2 linked regions of the Tamandua tetradactyla genome follow. Each later gene encodes a partner of the first gene's protein in a complex. Links are inferred from orthologs where the notes say so. Each region holds a gene or a part of one and is shown on either strand. Other genes may lie near its edges.

Region 1 (8,465 bases):
CCAGAACAGTATAAACCATACAGACAGAAAGTACATTAAGGTTGCAAGGGCTGGGGGAAGTGTGGGGATTAAGCGTGATGGCTAAGGGATGTGGGGTTTCCTCTTGGGGTAGTGAAAATGTTCTGAAATCAATTGTGATAGATGCACAACTCTGTGACTATACCAAAAGCCAATGACTTTAAATGGGTGGATGGTGTGGTATGTGGATTATATCTCAATAAAGCTGTTTTTTAAAAAATTCATAGGCCAACCTTATAAATTATTTTCCTAGGTATAGAAGTTGTTCTGGAGTTAACAATTGAAGGCTGGACTAACAGCGGAAAAGCTATAGAGAGCCCCACCCACAAACCTTGCTGTCCACTGACCAGGATACTTTCAAAGTGGTTGAGTCACAGGTCATCCAAACAATGGAGTACAGAGCAGTCTTGGAAAGAAAGGGGTAATCTATTCTCATACTCACCCTGGCTGAAGGAAGGAGATTTGTTACCAGTCACAACCTCCAAGTGGGGAAACTGGGTGGTTAAAGACCAAGGAGGTAGAGCTTTTAAGGTGTGACCCTGTGTCTGTGAAAACCTTATGACTGACGCTCCCTTCATCCAGTAGAAGGACAGATGAATAAAAATAAAAAGACAAAATAATAAATAAACAATAGGGGGTAGGAAGAGGGGATGTTTTGGGTGTTCTTTTTGCTTTTATTTTTATTTTCTTAAAAAATGTACATTGTGCTGTTTTGAACAAAATAAAGAATTCTCTGTTAAAGCTATGTTCTTAACCCAACTAAGATTGTTTACAAAATCCCATATGACAGTGATGCATTGTCCTTGTTCCAAAATATTTTTAGATATTTCCAAGTTTATTAAAGGCAGTTATGTAGTTATCTATATAATGTAAGCAATAATGTAAAATATGAGAAAAGGCTATAAAATGATGATTCATAAATCTGTTGGAGATGAGAAAAAAAGAATTGTTAAAACTAAAGGAAACCTTAAATTAATGACTATCTCCTTTTTTGCTGCTAAAAAGTGCAACCTCTTAGTTTATGGTTGAAATTGATATGATGCTCTTGATTGGAGTATATTTTTCATCTGAAAAAGCATGAAAGTATCTATGACATTGACCCTGAGTATTCTTGAGTTCATAAATAATGATCTTTGAGTAATTTATTTTCTATGTATATACCCAAAGTTTAGTCATTATGAAAGCACCTCTTTGGATTAGAAAAGAGAAACAAAATACAGTCCCTTAGTTGAAACACAAGATCTGCATTTTATTTAGGTGCTAGACTTTAATAAAATATATTTTTAAATTATAAAAAAATGTACAGTACTATTCAGAACTAGGAAATGTTTTAGTAATGGACGGTGGTGAAGGTAGCCCGACATTGTGAACATAATTAACAGGACTGAGATATATATATTTGATTGTGGTTAAAAGGAAAATGTTATATTGTATATATGGTAATAGGAGGAAAAATATTTTTAATCTATGAAACTGTACTATACAAACAATAAACCCTAAGTTAAACCATGGACCACAGTTAATCATACAGTTATGAAAATGTGCTTTCACTTATTGTAACAAATGCACCACACCAATGCAAGGGGTTAATAAAAGATGGTATATGGAAACCCTGTATTTTATGCATAATTTTCTGTAAACCCACACTTTCTCTAATAAAAGTGTATTTTAAAAAGACCAAGGAGGGAAAAGAAACTTGATTTCCTCTCTATCCTAGCTGTATTATTTATATTATTTAACCTAGTATATATATTTCGCTTTCAGTCTAAAATAGTTAATAAAAGATACACACTGAAAAGAATATATTTCTGGGCAATGGGAAATCATGATACATTTTGTTTGTTTGTTTTTTGTTTTTGTTTTTTTTACATGGGCAGGCACCAGGAATCCAACCTGGGTCCTCTCGCATGGCAGGCAAGCATTCTTGCCTGCTGAGCCACGGTGGCCCCATGATGCATTTTAAGTGAAAAAATGCAGGCTATTAGATAGAATGTACAAATAGACATAAGTTTGAAAATATAGACAGAAATTAATATATTAAGGAAAAAGACCAGAAGGCATAAAACATCTAGCACTCAACTCTGCACATAGTAAGAAGCCAATAAATATTAACTGCTGTTGTCATTGTTATTATTATTGGCACCCAAATATTAAGAAAGTTTATTTCTAATGGTAAAATTTGAGCTCATCTTTTCCCCCCTCCCACAGTATTTTGCAATAAGAATGTATTATTTTTGTTATTGGGTTAACACAGGGCTTCTCAAGCTTGGCCCTGTTGAAATTTTTGGCCCAATAATTATGTTGTGAGGACTGTCCTGTGTATTTCAGGATGTTTAGCAGCATCCCTGGCCTCTGCCCGTTGCATTCCCCAAGTTGTGACAACCGAAAATATCTCCAGACTTTGACAAATGTCCCCCAGGAGGGAAAATCATCCCCTGTTGAGAACATGAGGTTAAAATATATATTATTTGCTCAAATTCGATGAGCACACATATATTCATTTTATTACTCTTTCAAATGTATACATTTATTATACACTCTGTGTAAAGGTATATTTCATAATTTAAAGTTTTAAATTAAAAATATATATTAATTCAAATGGCACTAACCAGTTAGACTGACTTAAAACATAAAACTACAAATGACCATAAATAACATTTTCTAATTATTTATAAGAGTTTCTAATACTTATGTGTCAGGTGCTTTTTATACAATATTTTCAGACCTCACAACTTTATAAGAAAATATAATTATCATTTCCAGTTTACAGATGAAGTAATTTGCCCAAAGTCACCAGCTGGAAAGTGGTGGGTCCTGGAATACAGACCCTCCTTACTTAGGAACCTGAGGACCACACACGCAGTTGCCCCCTAGATACCATGACCACCCATCATTAACCCTCTTTCCACCAATCAGCAGCCGGGGAAAAAAAATCAAGTAGTTGCAATGTAACACTTAATGGTGGAGCCAGATTTCCCGCGTTCAAATCCTACCCTCCCATTTAGCAGCCATGCCACTGGGGAAATTACCGCTCTCCTTGCCAGTTTCCTAGTCTGTAATGTGACGTCAGAGGAGTATGCACTTGTAGGCTGCGGCGAGGATTTAGTGAGCTGATACAGGCAAAAAGCTAAGAACAGGGGCTGGCATGCAACAATCGTTATTATCAACGGCATAATTGTTGATAGCTATTCTAATAGTAACACGTTTTACCTTAAAGAGTAAAGCAAAAGAGAGGCGGTCATTACTTGGTGACAGGTGGGAGTGGCTCCCAAGAGAAATATTTGTGCCAGTTCGGACGGCAAAGATCACTTTAACACCTTCCAGATGATCTAACCGGTTCAGAGAAGGGGCTTGTCTGAGGTCACACAGCGAGGGCCCGATGCAGAAATCTCCGCACACAGAGGCCCTCGGATCAGGACCCTCTTAAACAGAATCCCGGAGTGGGTTTAGCGGCCGGATCGGGGCGGGATCGCTGGGTGGACCGGCCGCCCCGCCCCTACCCGGACCCCACTCACCGAACTGCATCCAGTCCCATTCGTTGAGGGTGTCCATGTTGCGGCACAAGTCGTCCAGCACCCAGGAGGGCAGCTGGTAGATGTAGCAGGCCATGGTGAGGGTGCCAGGCGCCGGCAGGCAGATGAGAGCGAAATTGAATCAGATGCGGCCAGGCTCAGCTTCTCTACCCGGGGGTGGGCGGTTCCCGGCTGTCAGTACAGCTGACCGGGAAGTGGGCGGGGCCGGCAGTTTGGCGTGACTGCCCTCTGGCGGCCACCTGGGCAGGACGCAGACCGGCCAGCTTGATCTGAGCAACTGGGGGAAGCAAGGAAGTTGCCAGAGCTGAGAGGGGACAGGTTCCCCACAGCGGGGAAGGACTCGATTAAGACAGATGGTAATTTAGTGGCAGTCACAGGAGACCGTCTGACTCCGTGCTTTTGTCACGATGCCATATATAATTCATTCAAAAACATTTTATTGTGTAACTACTGCATACCAGATATTGTTATAAGTGTTGGGAATACATAAGTGAAGAACGCCTACAAAAGTCCTTACTTTCATGGGATTTACAATCCAGTGTGAGTGTTCGCAGGAGACTAGCAGAAAATAATAAAAATGTGAAATAAGTAAATTACATAGTGTGTTAAAGGTAATTAATTAGTGGCATGACAAAACAGAAAAAAGAAAGTGGTTAAGAGGAGTTTGAAAGGGGCAGAAGAAGAATTCTGTTTAAACCTGGGTAGACCTTATAATAATAATAGGTAATATTTATTGAGCAGTTACTATGTGCCAGGTGCTGTTCTAGGTGCTGGGGATTACTCTAAATAAAAAGGATGGCCCTCCTGAAGCAAACCTTCTGCTGGAGGGTAACACACAATAAGCAATAAAAACATTAAATTAAAATAGCTTAGCAACATAGAACTCAAGTAATGTTAGAGAATAAAAGTAGAGTATGGTAAAAGAAAGAGGGTACTAATTACATAATGTTATTATCTTAGAGAGTTTGATCGTTGGGTTTATGTGTCAATTTGGCCAGGTAATGATGCCCAATTGCCTAGTCTAGTAGGCTCTGGCCTAACTGTTACTGCAAGGACATTTTGTGCACTTGAATCATAAGTAAGTTGATTGCAACTATGACTGATTACTTCTAGGATAAGCTAAGGAGAGTATCTTCAGCAATGATGGGTATTTAATCCAATTAGTTGAAGGCATTAAAAGGAGAAGTGATGACTTCAACAATCAGAAGAGACAATTTTCTTGTCTACTTCAGTCAGGAGAGACTGGCTGGAGGATTCATCAAAAACCTTCATTGGAGTTGTCTCCAATCTGCCCTAAGGTATTTGGACTTGTGTATCTCCATAGTTGCCCTTTTACAAAATCTCATATTTACAGGTATCACCTGTTGATTCTGTTTTCCCTAGAGAACCCTGACTAATACAGAGAGTGAAAAATAATATTAGGGGAAAAGCATAATATGGCGAAGAGGATGGCAGAACAATTACTAAATAGGATAGGAAGAAAGAATTAATACTAATAATACTGAACATCTATTATGTGCTGCCTTTACCTGAGTTATTTCACTTACTCCTCACAACAACCCTATGAGTTAGGGGTGGTTACTGCCCCCATTCTACAGATAAGGAAACTAAGGCACAGAGAAGTTAAGTAATTGGCCTAAAATCGTACGGGTACAAATTGGCAGAGCCAGGATTTGAACCCAGGCAATCTGTCCCAGAATCCAGGCTCTTAATCCCTACCACATACAAACTGTCTATAATAACAACTACATTTTATCTATACCTACATTGTGTCAGGTGCTTTGCACAAATTTTGTAATATATTTCTCAAAAGCCTATGATATTGATATTATAATCCCCATTTAACACAAAAGTAAATACATTTTAAGATTTAGGCAACGTCATCAAGGGCAGATAGGCAATTAGAGAACCTTTTTTTTAATTTATAAAAAAAAATAACAAACGCAAAACATTCTTAATTTTTTAACATTCCGGTCTACATATATAATCAGTAATTCACAGTATCATCACACAGTTGCATATTCATCATCATGATCATTTCTTAAAACATTTGCATCGAGAACACTCACCGACCTGTCTCCTGCCAAGCAATTATCTCTCCACAGAGGGTGGGCCTTTAGCTGTACTCTGGGGAATGGAAAGTCGATGACTGCTTTGAGCCTTGAGTTCAACTGTAGATAAATGAAGACTCAAATAATAATGTCAACTAATGGCATAAACATAATAGGAGTTTATTTTTTCTCAGTAACAAAAATGTTCAAAAATCAACTGTGAGGCTGGTTCCGAGAAGATGGCGGCTTAGTAAGACGTGCAGGTCTTAGTTCCTCCTCCAGAACAGCTACTAAAGAAATAGAAACAGTACAGGGCAGCTCCCGGAGCCACGACAAAGACCAAAAAGACAGCGTACCCCATTCTGGAACGGCGGAACAGGCTGGGAGAATCCGCTGCGGTGAGATCTTCGAGGGGCGTGCGCTTCCCCGGGTCGAGGCGGCTGGCGGCCGGAGTCCCTCCCTCCCTCCTTCCCGGGCCGGCTGGGAGAATTGGATTGGAGGTCCCCCAAGCCGCAGAGGCCAGCGCCCCCCACAACACACGGATTCCCGGGCTGGCTGGGAGATTTGGACCGGCAGTCCCACAAGCCGCGGCGGCCGATGCCCCCCCACAATGCGGGGCCTCCCGGCTGGCTGGGAGAATTGGATTGGAGGTCCCCCAAGCCACGGCGGCTGGCGCCCCCCCCCCCCCCCCCCACGCACGGATTCCCGGGCCAGCTGGGAGATTTGGACCGGCACTCCCCCAGCCGCTTCGGCTGGTGACCCTCCCCCACAGCGAGAGTTTTCCAAAGTTAAAGGAACCACAGCATCTTTTACTGGTGGGACCCACAGACGGACGAGCACCACGAGCATACCATACTGGGCAGGATAAGAAAAACAGAGCCCAGAGATTTCACAGAAAAACCTTTCAACCTGCTGGGTCCCACACCCAGGGAAATCTGATCAAATGCCCAGACACCAGCAGAAAATAATGGATCACGCTAGGAAAACTGAAGATATGGCCCAGTCAAAGGAACAAACCAATAGTTCAAATGAGATACAGGAGCTGAGACAACTAATGCTGAATATACGAACAGAAATGGAAAACCTCTTCAAAAACCAAATCAATAAATTGAGGGAGGACATGAAGAAGACATGGGCTGAACAAAAACAAGAAATAGAAAGTCTGAAAAAACAAATCACAGAACTTATGGGAGTGAAGGACAAAGTAGAAAAGATGGAAAAAACAATGGATACCTACAATGGTAGATTTAAAGAGACAGAAGCTACAATTAGTGAACTGGAGGATGGAACATCTGAATTCCAAAAAGAAACAGAAACTATAGGGAAAAGAATGGAAAAATTTGAGCAGGGGATCAGGGAACTGAATGATAATATGAAGCGCACAATATACGTGTTGTGGGTGTCCCAGAAGGAGAAGAGAAGGGAAAAGGAGGAGAAAAACTAATGGAAGAAATTTTCACTGAAAATTTCCCAACTCTTAGGAAAGACCTAAAATTACAGATTCAAGAAGTGCAGCGCACCCCAAAGAGATTAGACCCAAATAGGCGTTCTCCAAGACACTTACTAGTTAGAATGTCAGAGGTCAAAGAGAAAGAGAGGATCTTGAAAGCAGCAAGAGAAAAACAATCCATCACATACAAGGGAAATCCAATAAGACTATGTGTAGATTTCTCAGCAGAAACCATGGAGGCTAGAAGACAGTGGGATGATATATTTAAATTACTAAAAGAGAAAAACTGCCAACCAAGACTCCTATATCCAGCAAAATTGTCCTTCAAAAATGAGGGAGAAATTAAAACATTCTCAGACAAAAAGTCACTGAGAGAATTTGTGACCAAGAGACCAGCTCTGCAAGAAATACTAAAGGGAGCACTAGAGTCAGATACGAAAAGACAGAAGAGAGAGGTATGGAGAAGACTGTAGAAAGAAGGAAAGTCAGATATGATATATATATAATACAAAAGGCAAAATGGTAGAGGAAAATATTTTCCAAACAGTAATAACACTAAATGATAATGGGCTGAATTCCCCAATCAAAAGACATAGACTGGCAGAATGGATTAAAAAACAGGATCCTTCAATATGCTGTCTACAGGAAACACATCTTAGACCTAAAGATAAACATAGGTTGAAAGTGAAAGGTTGGGAAAAGATATTTCATGCAAATAACAACCAGAAAAGAGCAGGAGTGGCTATACTAATATCCAACAAATTAGACTTCAAATGTAAAACAGTTAAAAGAGACAAAGAAGGACACTATCTACTAATAAAAGGAACAATTAAACAAGAAGACATAACAATCATAAATATTTATGCACCGAACCAGAATGCCCCAAAATACGTGAGGAATACACTGCAAACACTGAAAAGGGAAATAGACACATATACCATAATAGTTGGAGACTTCAATTCACCACTCTCATCAATGGACAGAACATCTAGACAGAGGATCAATAAAGAAATAGAGAATCTGAATATTACTATAAATGAGCTAGACTTAACAGATATTTATAGGACATTACATCCCACAACAGCAGGATACACCTTTTTCTCAAGTGCTCATGGATCATTCTCAAAGATAGACCATACGCTGGGTCACAAAGCAAGTCTTAACAAATTTAAAAAGATTGAAATCATACACAACACTTTCTCGGATCATAAAGGAATGAAGTTGGAAATCAATAATAGGCAGAGTGCCAGAAAATTCACAAATACGTGGAGGCTCAACAACACACTCTTAAACAACAAGTGAGTCAAGGAAGAAATTGCAAGAGAAATTAGTAAATATCTCGAGGCGAATGAAAATGAAAACACAACATATCAAAACCTATGGGACGCAGCAAAGGCAGTGCTAAGACGGAAA
Region 2 (9,148 bases), on another chromosome or scaffold:
GTAAGGAAGAGTTTTCCTTTTCCCCACGGTCTCAACTATCTTCCACGTATTAAGATCAATAATAATCTCAATAAACTATCTTTAAAAATTGGCTTTCAAGGTTTAAACGTAAGCTTCTTTCAAGAAATTGAAGAAGTTTACCCTTCAAACTAGGAAACATTTCTTGGAAGGATTAATGAGGGAACCAAAACTTAAAAAGGTTTTTTAGCAGGTTAATGCTGAAAATTACAGATAAATTTTTTTCCCTCATGCTACATATTTTGACAGATCTCAGCAGCAATGATTGACAAAGAATAAAATCTGCATTTATGTTTTACATTAAAGAAAGCAGAACTGAGTAGAGAGGAATATTGGAAATTATCTGAAAATAGTGTCGAAAACTCCTGACCTAACTAAGCACTAAGAATTCTGATCATAGATGTGTACACTCATAAGTAACAACTTTAAAATATCAATTTGAAGAATTTCCAAAATACATTGATAAAATGCATTAGAGTCACGCACTTAGAAGCTTAAGTTTCAGAATTTTACTAGAGATTCTTAAAAATTCTTATATTACTTCAATATGGAAATAAGCTGGGGAGGCAGAGTAAACCGCACGTAGCTTGCCAGAGAATTGTAATTGGTTCTAATCCCAAAACTAAATTTTCAAGACCATAATATCAGCCCAGCCAATAAGGCAAATGAAGCAAAAATTACAAGAAAACAAACAAAAAATGGGTTACTTATAACTGTTATCTCCATGAGAAAGACCCAGTCCCTAAGCTGCGATATTGGGCAGTACTTATTTATTCCTATTAATCATTTTATATTGTGATATAAGAATTTTTAAAAAAGGAATATTGTATATAACCTTATGTGAAACTGATTGTATCTATCATCACCAGATGGTTTTTTAATAGCCACAGCTAACTTCTTCCATCCTTCTTGAGGATCAATAAAATCTGACAGCTTCCTAATTAGTCCAACATTGAGGCAGCGCACGTATGTTGATGAGGTTATGGATTTGTTCATCTTCTATTCCTAAAATATAAAAAATTCTTATTAAAATTTTACAGTAGCTTTGGGAAGGACATCTGTAAACTTATATATCACCCTTTGTTATATCATAGGAAAGGTTGGCAACTTAATACACCATTGTAAAGAAATACTCTAAAGTCAACTAGTTAATGTTCTAAGAGGAAATTAAAATTGTAAGTTCTCTGATTAATTGTCCTCTGGGTTTGCATTCTTTTCCCACCTACACACATCAATAAGAATTTTAAAAGTTCATTTTTTTATTCTTATTGATGTATATTAGGATACTATTTTCCAAATGCAATTTATACAAAGTAACAAAAAGTTTACTGTTTTCAGTAAAATTTCTGTGAGCATATTCAGGAATCAATTTGTTCATAAAAGAGATTTACTTGTAAAGATAAAATATCCTCTGTATAAAAAATTAAAGGGATGCATATTGAGAAACAGAGTCCAGTCGGAATGATTATACAATAATTTGGGTGAGCAGAAATAAGAGCCTGAAAAAAGTATTAGGTAGGGGAAGGTTCAGGAGATTTAGGAGGCTAAATCAAAAGGATTTCATGTGTGATCAGATATTGAAGGGATGGAGAGTGAGGAGAACAAGGAAGATGATTCGTAGGTTTTTTGGCTTGGGCAATTAGGTAGATAGTACGAGGAAATAAACCATTCAGTTTTGATATTAAATGTGGAATATCTATCTCTGGAACTATCTGGGGGGTGGCAGCAAGTAACTAGATATTATAGTCTGTGGGTTAAGAGGGAAGTTTAGGTAAAGAATGCACAATAAATAAAGGAGTTGGTTGAAGCAATAAGTAAGATAAGGTTGCCTTATATATTAGGAATATATAAAATGGGAATGAATGAAGAGAAAGAAAATTTTTAAATATTCATGAGGCAGAGTCATGGAGGGAAGCTGAAAATCAAGACAGTAGCATACCAGAGAATTTTTAGAATGGGGGACAGGTTGGTACAAATGACTCAAGAGGTCAAGAAAACACTCATGGTGTCTGCTAGATTTGGAAACCAGGCCACTGGCTTCAATTCCTTTGTATTGACTGTTTATTCTCTCAGTGAGATGTGAAGATACCGGTGGTTTTGAGAAGGGAGAGATATGTTGTATATTCATGCCTTAAAAGGGCACTGGGGGTGCTGCTGAAAATAAACTCTACTGGAGTAGAGACGCAGGGAGAGGCCAATTATGAGACTACACTAACAACTTACACTAACAAGTGGCGGCTAGGACCAGGGTGGAGGCAGAGAAAGTGCAAAATCCTTGGATGCTCGATATATTCCCAGACAGAGCCAACAGAACCTGCGTGCTGATGTGGAGTGGGAAGATGGTGAGGAGGTTTTGGCCCGAACGACTCTTCACTGATATTTACTGAAATGGACAAAACTTTGGAAGGCACAAATTTGGTCTGGAAGATCAGCTTCACTGCGAAAAGCAGAAAGCTAAATTCAAATAAATATTTAGCATGAAACAGAAGAACAGAACAGAAACATAAAAGGTATCTTCTGACAGTCGTCTCCAAGGACTATCCCCAGCAAGGGGAAAGGCAGATTTTAATATCCTGTGCTCTGAAGTCTCCTTGGGAAGATTTGTTTTTGAGGCATTAATAAGTGTTACTGGTTCCCATTCTAAATGACGGATGTTCTTTCTCGGCTTCCCCAAGTTGCTTTTTTTTTTTTTTTTTTTTTTTTTTTAATCTCTTGATTCACTCTCTGGTTGCCAGGCTTAAGTACACTTTTCCCATCTGCTAATGTAGTTATCTAAACTTTACATCCACTGTCCACTTTCTAATTTCTTGAGAGCTTGGAAATCAGAGAAAACAAGCTTATTAGAATCGAGGGTATGCTCAGAATGCTTCCCACGCTGCCAGCATCTCTGCTGCGTGCTGGGCTTACTTCCTGGCTATCGGGAAATGAGATTTCATTTCGCAGAAGAGCTCAGAGAACAAACAGCCTGGAAGTTGAGAAATGAGGCGAGGTCTGACCGAGCCACAGAAGTGCTGGGTGACGCCTCTCCGCGCCTTAAGTTCCTCCTTCCATCGGAGTACCTTTCTGATCCCGGAGGGCCCACTACCCAGGTCACGATCCCGGAGCAGGGTCTTCCCACGCAACCTACTTCCTCTCTAGCGCCTCTCACTTTGGAGATAAGACTTGAAGCGATTTGCGCTACAAACGGTCACCCGATAACTCGGGGGCAGAGGGTGAGGCGGGCCCGGGCCTCGGACAGTCTCCGGGAAGCAGGTGCGGACGGCGGGAATCCCTTACCTGCCCGCTGTACGGGACGCGGGTGGGGCGACGCCCCGCGGAGTAAAAGGCCTAAAAACTTACGCTCGCTCGGAGAAGCGGATGGGCGGGCGCAAGTCTCCAGGTCCCGCCCCCGCTCCGCCTGCCGCGTTTCCTCCTCTCTGGGTCCCGAGACTTGGTACTCAGTGAGACACTGCAGTCTAGGGTAAGGCGCTTCTTTCCGTGAGCTGCCCCTTTAAATATGCCGCTGTCGGAGGCTGAATAGTTGAAGCTTCCGGGCATGCGCACAGCGTTGTGCCGAGGCGCGCCTTCACCTGGACGCTAGGTAGGCTGGATCGCGCTAATTGGGCAATGTGCAGCTTGTGTTTGGGACTGTGACAAGGTTGGCATTGGGGACCCCGACCCTTTGCCCTAAAAAAGGGGGGCGACGTGGGCTTGCTTCTCCGCCATGGATAGGCGGAGAAGCAAGTAGAGCTGCTGGCAGTGTATGGGGGGGGGGGGCACTTTCGGGGCAAGTGAAGTGGTAGCGCCGGGTAGGCTTTACTTCTGTGGCTTGGTAGCTTTTGTTAGGAGCGAGATCGGGGGAGTTTGGCGGTTAGTGGAAGAAGAGCATGATGGAGAAGCTACTCTCCATTTCTACTACCTTCCCAGAATCATTCCTCAACCTGCAATTCTCCAACTCCGACTCGCCGCCTCGCCCCCTCATAACTAAACTGTGGCTTAGGAATTCTGCACATTTGAGCTTAACTCCACGTGGACTCCTTGGCTGCTGTCCAGTTTGGGTCTAGACCCTTTTGACATTTCCCAGACTCCCACCTCCAGCCAGTCTCACATCATTATCCACCTCAAGTCCCTGCATTTTCCCATTCTTTTACTAAGGTGCTTGGTTGGAATCCTTTTATTGTTTACCTTCTCTCCCTATTATTATTATGTTGGCTTAGAATACCTTCATATTATCTTCCTTTTTCTGGGAAAAGAGATGACCATTGTTCTTTGCAAGGCCAATCTGCCGCTATGCGCTTGATCATATTGCTTTGCAACTCTTCTCTTACCCCATCAGATGCATTTGGCTCAGTGTTATCAGAATCATCTTACTAAAGCATCTTAATGATTGTGTTGCTTTTCTACTCAGACAACTTCTGTGGCCATCCATTGACCATCTAATGGATTTGAAGTCCTTGACAAGGCATTCAGTCTTCCATAACTGGGCTCCGTTTCCAAAACTGTACTAGAAAACTCTTTTTCCCCTACTGTTGCATCTGGGCTGTTTATATTTTTCTCTCACACATTCATATTTTGTTTGTAGATTACTTATGATATTCTCTCTATCTCATTTTTATCTCTTGAGTCCTTTTGAGGCCACACTTAGATGGTCACCTTTTGCATTATGCCTTTTCTGATTATCACAGGCAAAAGTGATTATTTCTTTCTTCCTCTTCATTCTTAAAGCTCTTATTTTATATTTGTCATTTTGTTCATTTCAGCAGTCAATGGATTGCATGCCTATTATGTGCTTGGCAATGTTTTAACTTTGGGATAATCAGTGATAAATGAGACAAGAATCCTGCTTATGGAGCTAACAGTAGTTGGAGGGAGATAGACAATAAATATTGAAGAAAACATTTGAAATATTATGCAGAAAATAAAATAGGGTTCTGTGAAAAAGAATCTAAAGATTCCTTTAGATACTGATTAGGGAAGACCTCTTTGAGGATATAATTTCAAAAGATGTAGCTATATGGCCAGGGAAGGAATAATTTAAGCAGCAGGAACAGTTAGTACAAGGCCGTTGTAGCTGGAGTGTAATGGGTAATGGAGAAAGGGTACAAAATGATTTTGGAGAATCAACAGAATCTAGAATCAGAAGTCTTTGGAAACCAATGTAAGAAATTTGGATTTATAGTTAGAGGGTTGTAAATAGGTTGTGAGATGATTTAATTTATCTTTTAAAAGAGTTCTGGGGGCTCTATGGAGAGTGAACTATATTGACCCATGGAAGCAGAGATTAGAGGCCTTCTGAAGTCTAAGAATTTCAGGTATGGAAGTACTAAAGTAGGGGTGATGAAAAGACAGTGGGTTGATCAAAGAGCTAGATTCTTAAAGTTGATGTTTTGGGGGATGATTGGTGATGAGAAAGTGGGGGGTGTTACTGAGGGGATGTACAACTGAGATGAAGTGGCAGTGGAAGATCTAGGACTGAGGGATCCTGGTGTTAAATGGAAGATCCAGGTAGATGAGCGTCGAAGTCATGTTGGATGGGAAGGTATGAGTCGGGTGTTAAGTCATCAGTGAATGAAGAAGAGTCCTCAAACTATCAGAGTGAAGGTGACAGCATTTGGTAAAACCCAGTGGCATGAACTTTAAAGGAACTGGGATTTTTAAAGGTAGAGGAGGAGAAAAGTGGTTTGGAAGGAGTGATGGGAAACAGAAAATATTTACAATCTCCAGGTCCTAAGGTAGTAGTGTGTGAAAGGGAAAATAGCCTTCATTTGGGAGGATACAGAACTAGTCTGAAGAAATAGCCAGGTTTCACTTAGGGCAAGAAATTGAAGGGAATGTGCAGGAAATTAAATATACCTTTATATGTTCCCTAGGAAATAGTGTGTAAAGAATTTGTTGTGATTTCTACACAACACAGTAGAAGAGATTGAGAAGGGGGCAGAAGGGAGGGGTGTTGCTTATTTGATTCAGATGAGTGGAATATGTGTAGAAATACGGATGAAAATCCAGATAATAACAAATTGCCTGGAAAGTATGGGGTTCTGCTGGTAACTAAATGATGTGGACCCTTGAGCAACTGATTTTTTTTTTGATTTTTTTTTTTTATTAATTAACGGAAAAAAAAAAGAAATTAACCCAACATTTAGAAATCATACCATTCTACATATGCAATCAGTAATTCTTAACATCATCACATAGATGCATGATCATCGTTTCTTAGTACATTTGCATCAGTTTAGAGGAACTAGCAACACAACAGAAAAAGATATAGAATGTTAATATAGAGAAAAGAAATAAAAGTAATAATAATAGTAAAAAAAAAAAAAAAACCTATAGCTCAGATGCAGCTTCATTCAGTGTTTTAACATGATTACTTTACACTTAGGTATTATTGTGCTGCCCATTTTTGAGTTTTTGTATCTAGTCCTGTTGCACAGTCTGTATCCCTTCAGCTCCAATTACCCATTATCTTACCCTGTTTCTAACTCCTGCTAGACTCTGTTACCAATGACATATTCCAGGTTTATTCTCGAATGTCGGTTCACATCAGTGGGACCATACAGTATTTGTCCTTTAGTTTTTGGCTGGACTCACTCAGCATAATGTTCTCTAGGTCCATCCATGTTATTACATGCTTCATAAGTTTATCTTGTCTTAAAGCTGCATAATATTCCATCGTATGTATATACCACAGTTTGTTTAGCCATTCTTCTGTTGATGGACATTTTGGCTGTTTCCGAGCAACTGATTTTTCCACGACTACATGTCATAAGATAGCTGTGAGTTGTGTAAAGAGTGAGTGATGGCTGCCTCAGAGGCCATTGTTTTGTCTACTGCTCCAAGAAAGCTCTCTAATGGTAATGATATTGTAGTTGGAAATATCCTCTGGGTCGTCCTCAAAAGTTTGTGCCTGTCCCAGTGAGGGCTTTAGAGAAGGCTTATGGTCCAGGACTGAATTAAGCCTACCTGAAAGCATAATGAAATTGTGAGTTGATATTTAGAACTGCATTTGCTTATCAATTTAAGCTTTTTCTTCCTGTCCTTTCCTTGTCTCTTCTCCAAATCCCCATCCCCAGTTTAGAAAAATATAGCCTCAAATTCTCTGGAATTAGAAATTTTAGGTTCTAGGGATAGAGTTTAGAGAAATCATTGTAAACACTCTTATCATCTAGTTTCTTCTTTGGGGACCTATAAATAGTATTATTAAGGTAAACCTGAAATTGACCCATTTTAAGCCTGGATGATGGGTGGAAATATGCAGTGGATTTAAAAACAAGCTACAAATCACCAACTATACCAGAAAAATAATTTTCCTATTTATTCATCTTGGTATAGGAGAGTCAAAGTGCACATCATAAATTAGTTATGTAAATTAAGGGGACTCAAAATTAAATAAAGATTTTTAAATGTTATAAGAAAAGAGATAAGATATTCATATGTTATTTGTAAAAACATTTGTATCTTTATATTTCCTTGAAATAAAACATTTGAAAATGTTCAGTAGCAGGTCATTACTATTGCAAAGTAGTTTCTAATAACTTTGTACATATATTTTGAGAATGTATATAGTTTTGATAGCTAGTCAAATGGTATTTAAGTTAGTGTTTAATATTAGAATCTAAGAAATGCTGATATCTGTATCTATAGATTTTTTCCTTGTTCACCTTAATTTTAAATTAGTTCATGTAATTTACTGTAAAACACAGACTATACAGTGATTATGTTTTGTTTGGAATGCCAGAAAATAAAGAGCAAAAAAAAAAAAAAAAAAAGATTGAATTAAGAAGATTAAATAAATCCTGCAATCTTATTCCTTTTTTGTTATTCACAACTTTTCTCTCTGGTAACTGCCTGCCTCTCTGTTTCTTTTGCAGACATTTACGAATGGAAGAGGATGCAGATTATAGAAGCAGATTTAGTTCTTTGTGTTACATTAATGATCATGTTGGATTTTGTGGTACTATAAAAGGCTCACCAAGTGACTTTGTGGTTATTGAGATTAATGAGCAGGGACAATTAGTTGATAAGGCCATTGATGAACCTATTTGCAAGATTAGTAAAATTCTACCTGAGCCAAGTAATCTTGGCAAAAACATAAAACTAGATCTTCAAAATTGTTCTTGTGAAGATGAAAGTAACCAAGAACTTAATACTTTGGCTAGATGCTCCAGTAGTGACCAAAATCATCAGTCTGGTACAGAAAATGAAGAGACTGTCGAAGGGCCTTCCAAATGTGAAAAAGAAAAAGCTGATATATTAGGTTCCTTGTTAGATGAAGAAACTAATGAATTATTGAATCAGTTTGCTTGTAAAATAAAAGAAAAATGGAATTCTGAAAATGAGCTAATTAAATCATCATCTCCTGAATTCTCACTAGGCAAAATCCTTGAGAAGAACCAAAGGGCCGTTTTACATAGTGCTGTTAGGCAGAAGTTTCCTTTCTTAATAACTGTAGGAAGAAATAGTGAAATTGTTATAAAACCGAATCTTGAATATAAAGAACTCTGTCATCTGGTATCTGAAGAAGAAGCATGTGACTTTTTTAAATATTTAGATGCAAAGAAAGAGAATTCCAAATTTACCTTTAAACCTGATATGAATAAAGACCACAGAAAAGCTGTCCACCATTTCGTTAACAAAAGGTTTGGAAACCTTGTGGAAACTAAATCCTTTTCTGAACTGAATTACAATGCTGATAATTCAAATGTAGTGATAACAGTAAGATTTCGGGAAAAAGTACACAGGCAAAGGAAAAGATCTCTTCTTGAATGCGAGGAAAGAAAAGTTACATATACAGGTAATTCAATAAATCATCATTTTCTTGGATAAGCTTAATTAAATTTAAAGTTGTGTGAAAGTTGTGTAATTTCAAATGAGTTGGATAGACTTTGCCAGAGGGATATTTGAAGAAATATCTGTTATTTGCTGGGAGAAAAAGCCTTTCAAATTGTACTAAATGTAAAATAGTCTTAACTGATGATAGTCTGCTTAACACAGGCAATTATAGTTAACATAGTCACAACTGTATAAAGTTGGAGCAGTTATTTTGTTTTTCATAACCTTTATTGAGGTAAATCTTAATTTCATATTTTTAAAGTCATCTTAATTAAAATTAAACATTTGGAGATAAACAGAATATGTATGCTATGATTGG

Evidence for each region.
Region 2: the proteins of IRAK2 (region 1) and IRAK4 are in contact, whole or in part, in a crystal structure (PDB 3MOP), measured with the Homo sapiens proteins. The link is inferred for Tamandua tetradactyla from reciprocal best matches to the Homo sapiens genes IRAK2 and IRAK4. Residues at the interface, in NP_001561.3 of Homo sapiens: Tyr6, Ile36, Lys44, Met48, Glu59, Trp62, Trp63, Trp64, Gly65, Met66, Arg67, Gln68, Ala69, Gln73; in NP_001107654.1 of Homo sapiens: Asp24, Phe25, Pro28, Gln29, Lys34, Glu92, Phe93, Phe94, Ala95, Pro96, Ser98, Val105.

What each region holds. Positions count from the first base shown.
Region 1 is NC_135335.1:38,986,616-38,995,080, forward strand, and holds the start of IRAK2 (interleukin-1 receptor-associated kinase-like 2), read right to left. Parts: upstream 3,730-8,465; 5' UTR 3,628-3,729; coding exon 3,534-3,627; intron 1-3,533. UniProt on the Homo sapiens protein: Binds to the IL-1 type I receptor following IL-1 engagement, triggering intracellular signaling cascades leading to transcriptional up-regulation and mRNA stabilization.
Region 2 is NC_135333.1:103,422,777-103,431,924, reverse strand, and holds the start of IRAK4 (interleukin-1 receptor-associated kinase 4), read right to left. Parts: upstream 3,518-9,148; 5' UTR 3,358-3,517; exon of another isoform or gene 3,295-3,357; intron 3,289-3,294; exon of another isoform or gene 2,242-3,288; intron 1,024-2,241; 5' UTR 1,015-1,023; coding exon 854-1,014; intron 1-853. Other genes in the region: pseudouridylate synthase PUS7L, read left to right, coding at 7,879-8,791.